Tribolium castaneum: one gene and its partner. The protein of the gene in region 2 interacts with the protein of the main gene of each other region in a biochemical or structural test. Links are inferred from orthologs where the notes say so. Each region holds a gene or a part of one and is shown on either strand. Other genes may lie near its edges.

Region 1 (4,503 bases), about 2.2 Mb from region 2:
ACAACAAATGTCACTGAACCTTGCCTAGGGTTGGCTTGGAGTAACTGCCTTACGTATCGTTTCAATATCAACAGATTTGTAAATACTAAAGTTAGAGAATTTGAAGTTGTTTTTGCACCAGACTTATCAAATCAAACTTGTAAGTTTACCATTACAGGGGAAGGTCTAAGACCTGTTGCATAGTCATGTTACTTGTAATATATGTTCTAATAGAATAAAAGTGTTTTTGTAAATAGAATATATTTTTTTGTTTGATTTTAAATTTGCTCAAGTGCAAAGATGAATTAAACAGTGAACTATTCAAGTGACCTGCTCTCGAATTTTTTGCTCTTTTTTACTTCTGATAATTGAAATAAAGTGAAACAAACGAATAAGTAAGTACTTACAGTGTATTTGAAATAATAATAATAATTCTGCAAAAACTAGACCAGCTGTTTTACAATGCCATTGTTTTTGTTTTCATAAAAAACTATGGTATCAGCAGAAAACAGCAGAGATATCTATGCCGGCAAAGAGTCATTAATTATGACAGAAAACATTAGCAAAATTAGACGAGATGGAGGAAACTGCGAACACTGTGTCGCCTTTTGTGCTCAAGCTCTGGAAGATGATAAGTCACCAAGAAGCAGCAAACGTAATAGTGTGGAGCGATTCTGGAGATAGTTTCATAATCAAAAACCAAGCCCTCCTCATCACGAAGCTCCTGCCTCTCTACTTCAAGCACAACAACATGGGGAGTTTCATTCGACAGTTAAACATGTACGATTTCCACAAAATATGCGTGGAGAGAAGCAACGAAATGGAGTACAAGCACCAATATTTCCAGAGAGACAAGCCAGACCTCTTGAAGAACATCAAACGGAAAACACCGCTAAATAAGACATGTAGCCGAGGCAGTTGCGAATTGGTAAATTTGTCTTCGGAAATAACAGCCATAAGGAAACAACAAGACGAAATATGCGCACAGATAAATGTGCTCCAGCAGGAAAACGTAACACTGCTCAACGAACTGAGCAGTTTGCACGCGAAACAGAACAATCAGAACACGATTTTGAAGAACATCGTGCAAGTCTTGATGCCGTTCTTCGACTTATCGAAGAACAAAAACGAGGTGAACAATGGGCCCAAGTTCTTTCACGTATGCCAGAGCGTGCCACAAATCGAAGTGTTCAATAAAAATGCTTCTACTAACAACTGGATTGATAAACGCTGGATTTATCAAGAGAAGCAGTTGTGTGCGCCCCCCAGTGAGGGCCAAGGCGGCGAGACGTTGTCCAGAGACACTCTTATTGACTTGGACAATGAGCTCTCGAATATTATTGAAACAGAAATGTTGGATAATCCATCTTTGCTCATCAGTCACGACCTGAACCAGGATTTTAACTTAGAAACTGGCGTAACTGATGATAACTTTAAGACTAAAGTAGATTTTTGATTGTTAAGTTTCTTTGAAATAAATTTTTTTCGTTCCATTCAAATTTGGCACTGTTCCGTGTGGTCTGGTTGGCACCCATGAGTAACACAACCAACCTACGAGAAATGAACAATCGTACCTGTCAAAATTCAACAATAATAAACAACTTTCCACTTGCCAGTTGAACGCTAACGTGAAATTGCAAAAAGCGAGGCGATTTAAAATGACCCAATAATTAAAAAATCGGTGCGCATTTCGCAATCGCCAAGTTGTGTGTGGTGGAGCAGTGCCAGTGACTCAGGGGTTAATACACCCCTAAGCTTTCCATGGAATAAATTAATTCAGATGCGAGATGTTGACGCCTGGTGTTCGGATCGTCCGTGGCCCCGACTGGTCTTGGGGCAACCAAGGTTCAGTGGCCCAAAGTTAGACTAGGGTTAATTGAATTTTTCAGATGGGGGTGAGGGTTTCGTGGGCACCGTGTGCGAGATCGGCAAGTCTGGGAGTGTGGGGTCCCCTGATAAGACCGCAGTGGTCCAGTGGGACAACGGGACGCGGACGAACTACCGAGTTGGCTATTTGGGCAAATTTGACCTCCTTGTCATTGACAACGCGCAAATAGGTAAATCGCGATAAATTAATAAAACAGCGATAATTTTGTTATCGGACACCATCGATGTGTAGCAATAACAGGAGGAGCAGCCTTGGAACTTATTAGAAATTCTGCTAATTATTCCATTTCTAGGCGTCAAGCATCCTAACATTGTTTGCGATGGTTGCAAAAGCCAGGGCATTTGCGGCATGAAATACAAGTGTTGCGTTTGCTTTGATTATGATCTGTGTTATATGTGTTACCACGGCGATAAGCATGATCTTGATCACACTTTTAAGCGGTTTGACTCGGCCACTGCCTTGGGGTGAGTCAATTCGTTAGTTATTGTGTTTTTCGGTAGTAAAAGTGGTTTGTTAGAGTCGATTTGCCACCCCGACAGAATGGGCGAAAATGCGAGCTGAAGGGCATTTTTGTGGGGGCCAAGGTGGTAAGGGGGTACAACTGGGAGTGGGGGAATCAGGATGGGGGTGATGGGAAAGTCGGACGAGTTTTGGATATTAGAGGGTGGGATAAGGAAAGTAGTCGCTCTGTGGCTAATGTTACCTGGTTGTCGGGCTCGACGAATGTCTATCGGCTGGGGCATAAGGGCGATTGTGATATTAAGTTTGTTGAGCCGGCTAGTGGAGGGTTTTATTATCCCGAACATCTTCCAATTTTAGGTGAGTTAGTTTGTTTGAAACGAAAAAATTTGAAACCAACCGTGTGTAATTTTTGAAAAAAATATACATACGTTTTACTAACTAATATTGCTTTTAAACTATGTTAATTATTTCAACAAATTTGAATTTTGGGTTAGCATTATTCAACAAGGTTTGGCGTCAAAACCTTCACGAATTTTTTGTCAAATAATTTATGAAATTCGTTGACATCATTGGAAAAGTTTCTAGTTGTTGCGTGCACTAAAAATTCGTTTTGTTCTTGCTCAGCTTAACAATTGAATATTAATTGGTTTAGATAACTTTGTAGAAATTTTTATTTGTATTTTAAACGGACAATAAAACTGGAATGTTGGTAATCAAATTAATTAATTGCATTTTAATTCATTGCAATCTTTTCTGCGGTCTATTTTTTACAAATATATAAGTGAGGCATGTGGCTTATTTGTTATTTTATTTTGATATTTTTATATTTCTTTCTTTTCGTTACGTTATGTGTTCCTCTTATTCCTTTTTAAAAACTTTTCTGTTGGTTTGGACGAAATCTTTTAAAATAAGTTTCTGACTAAAAAAAGCTTTAATAACATCTAACAGTAACGCACAAAATTCAGGTAAATTCAGGTTGTTTTATTTTTTAAATGCTACATTTCGACGTTTTAGTGACATGATATCAATTGTTTTTGAGTTGTGACGTCATTTTTAATTTTTTAGTGATAACTATTCAATGTTTTAGATAATACACATCCTTATCTTTCGGATAATAAAAAAATAATTAAAAATTAATAGTTATTTAATAACAAGGGAATTATAAGGATTTTTGTGACCGTGGACTACGGATTTACTGTCCAGAGGGCCATTAGGTCCGAGGGCTCTAACGGACAATACATTGCCCTAGGATATTAACACCCAAAAATTCCAGTGATAGATAAACAATTTTATTTTTTACTGAAATAAATTTCTGCAAAAAATAATAAGTTAAATGATTGAAAAAAAAAATATTGAAAGAAATTAAGGAATTAATTCCACAAGGGAATTATAACCATCTTTATGGTTACTTTATTTAAGGCAATGTTTGACTACTAGACTAACTAGATTAGTAAGAAAAAAATAAATAAATGCAATACAATAAAAAATATTGACAATAATTAAGCATAATCTTCTTGTTTTTGACTTATTTTATAAGTGGCAATTGTATTCGTATTTTTGTAAAATTATCATAAAAACATTTAATATGACACCTAAGCACAAAAAAGTGTACAAAAAATCGTTATACAATAAAGCAAGAACGAAAAAAAAAGCTCTTTAATACTTTCAATAACCATTTTTTCATAAATAACGTAAATTCAGAGCGCATTACTAATTAATACAAACACCATTTTTGCATTTTCCTTTAATTTTTTGAAATACATGGGGTTCTATTTAATCTCTTTTACTGCTAATTTACTACATTTTAAGTTACGGTGACCTCTGTGGCTACAGCCCGTAACAACGTAACATTTCAGTAATTTCGTCAGTGACTGATAAACATCAAAAGTTATTGCAAATACCGATTTAAATAATTATATAAAATATGAAGTCATATTTTAATGTATTAAGATTACGGTTTGATACTTATAAAAAAGTGGCCTAGTTTTTATGGTGGTTTATAACATAATTTAACAATTTTTGTTTGCTGATGTGTTGCATTGATTTATTATGCAATGAAAATTGTTTTGGATTTCCTAAGTTTGTCGATCCACTTTTTCAAAATTGTTGTGCAAATATAAATATTTAAAAATCGTCCAGGGCACAACATAGAGCAAGCGGTGGCTCGTCCAGTC
Region 2 (2,455 bases):
AATAGGTAAAAATCGCAATTTACCTCGTCACCCAATTAATAAATTATTGCAGTAATTGTGAAAAACTCGATGTTTATTTATATAAAGTCCCGATCGACCAAAGACCTAACGCGAAAATGCGCTGCGATCAGTTGAAGTATGATGCAAGGCACCTTCAGGCGGCCCTAGTGGCCTCTAGACAGAAAAGGGCACGACGAGAGGCTGCGATTAATGAAAGGGAACAATTGTTGAATCGCCGGTTTGCCCCTAATCCCGATCTGACGACCATCAATATAGACTATGCGTTACAGCACCAGAATTCATTACAGAATTCTCATAGAGGTGTAGACGAAATGCTACACACGGGGGTTAATGCGTTAGAGTCGCTTAGGTCGCAAAGACTGACTTTGAAGGGGGCACATCGTCGCATTATGGACATGGCTAATACGCTGGGGCTGAGTAACCACACAATGAGACTAATCGAGAAAAGGGCCGGTGAAGACAAATATATACTGATACTGGGAATCGTGATTACGCTTTTAGTGATTGTTTTTGTAATTGTGTATTTTACATAGAGAGGTGACACATTCCCTGGTTGTTGTGAATTATGTAATCTTGATTTATTAATAAAAAATTAATTCGTTTTGGTTGGGTTAAATATTTGGGATTGGCAGTGAAGGGTAAAGAAAATGCGTGGTTGTTTGATTGCTAGAATTTATTTCGTCCCTCTTTCCGTTCTTTAACAATAAAAATAAATTTTCTACAAAAAATACTCGATAAGTCTATTTTATAGTTTTAAATTAATAAGTGTGAACTATTTATGTGGTGGGGTTATTTGAGCCAGTACGATTTCTAGTTAATTTATAGACAGGGAAAAATCGTACCGATCCAACGGGATCGCTTTTAAAATTTAATAAATGCCCATATCACTTTGTATTTGTGAAAAATGAAGCCGACATACGATTCAAACGTATACTTGAAATAGAAGATTGTTAGATCAGCAGGCAAGGCACATTGTCATGATAGTTCCTACAGTTCCGGGAAGAATAACAAAGTGATATAGTTAACAACAATACTGAATATAACAAGCATTATATTTTAATTCTTAAATCAGGTTAAGTGTTTTCGTAACAAATTAAATCAAAATTTCTATACTTTATACAACATTAAACAGAAATAAATATTCTAAAAATATCAGTCGTAAAGAAAAAATCTATCTGTACATCATGACGTCAGAACTTTGGTACATGCAAATATAAGCATCACATAACAACCTGCGCGCGTGTTCGGGTAGGTGACGGTCTTGGGGGAAGTCCTCGTGTAACTGGCGGCAGATCCGTTCGTCCGACAACCATCGTGAAATATCCGGACATGCGACCATCTCCGGGATATTGTACCCATTTTTCTCGCCTGAAAAATACTCGTGAATTTTTATATCTTGGCCGCGAGATGGTGTCACACCTTTACGATCCGCCATCGAATCGAAAAAACACCACGGCGCCTCGTGGCCAACTCCGCACTTGACGAAAGCTACATAATGGGAAGTTTCAATACAAATCACAGCAAATAGTTCCATGAAAAGTCGAGGAGGACGACAGTGATCTTCAAGGATCGAGAAATCATCACAGACATCTAGTTTCACAGCGGGGCGGTGGTGTGACCTCCGTTCGTGTCTGTGGGCTTTTTCGAGACACATAGAGCAGAAAGCCGTACTTTCCAGCCCGGCGTTGCTACAATCATCAAAGCACTCACGACACTCCCAATGGGCGAGTTTGCCACAAACGATACACTGACGAGGAGCTAAAAAACAATTATTATTTCACGAGTGACGAGAGTTTTTCCGCTTACATCCTTCAATAACGTCAGTCACGTCTAGAAGCTGTGACGGTAGAATTCTCGGATACATTTTGTAGTTCTTCCCGAACCTCGGCATCTGTATGATGAGACAAGAGGGAACTTCTTTCAATTTAATGTTACTCGTGAGAAAGCTTTGTTCGAATAATTGTTGTACTGTGGGTAACGTTAAATCGGCGTCTTTCTCCACAAACAACTGATAATAAAACGACTCCTGACCCGAGTTAAGCTTCAAAAACGGCTCGGCTTTAAGTATCTGCGCCAAAAGCGAATTGAGAAACTCCTCAGGATCCTTCTCTTCGCTCGTTAAACCGGACACCGAACTTAATCGATCTAATAAACGTCTCAAATTCATCACGCGATCGGCACGAACAAACAAATTTTTTCGGAGCGGATTTACGATTTCTTCACGTAATACTCGTTGGACCTAAAACACAATTTAATTTGTTTTCGAAAAATACGAAAAATCAACCTCGTTATAATCGGGGATATCTTTCGGACCTTTGGGCCGAAACAACAAACTGTCAAATACTGCTGTGTAGGTAAACATTGAGAAAAGGGTGACGTCGAGGTAGCAGGAATTGTGGTGCCCTTGAATGCCCCGGAATTTGCCACAGACGGC

What was found.
Region 1: of the proteins of CYLD (region 2) and mib2, one has a biochemical effect on the other in vitro, tested with the Homo sapiens proteins (2 studies listed by BioGRID, with this or other methods). The link is inferred for Tribolium castaneum from reciprocal best matches to the Homo sapiens genes CYLD and MIB2.

Annotation. Positions count from the first base shown.
Region 1 is NC_087398.1:7,200,798-7,205,300, forward strand, and holds the start of mib2 (E3 ubiquitin-protein ligase MIB2), read left to right. Parts: upstream 1-1,546; 5' UTR 1,547-1,766; coding exon 1,767-1,824; intron 1,825-1,868; coding exon 1,869-2,036; intron 2,037-2,159; coding exon 2,160-2,331; intron 2,332-2,384; coding exon 2,385-2,686; intron 2,687-4,468; coding exon 4,469-4,503. Other genes in the region: DNA repair protein XRCC3, read left to right, coding at 1-183; heat shock factor protein, read left to right, coding at 557-1,435. UniProt on the Homo sapiens protein: E3 ubiquitin-protein ligase that mediates ubiquitination of Delta receptors, which act as ligands of Notch proteins.
Region 2 is NC_087398.1:4,982,685-4,985,139, forward strand, and holds the end of CYLD (ubiquitin carboxyl-terminal hydrolase CYLD), read right to left. Parts: coding exon 2,306-2,455; intron 2,261-2,305; coding exon 1,828-2,260; intron 1,780-1,827; coding exon 1,441-1,779; intron 1,390-1,440; coding exon 1,193-1,389; 3' UTR 677-1,192; downstream 1-676. Other genes in the region: Membrin (probable Golgi SNAP receptor complex member 2), read left to right, coding at 1-5, 53-554. UniProt on the Homo sapiens protein: Deubiquitinase that specifically cleaves 'Lys-63'- and linear 'Met-1'-linked polyubiquitin chains and is involved in NF-kappa-B activation and TNF-alpha-induced necroptosis.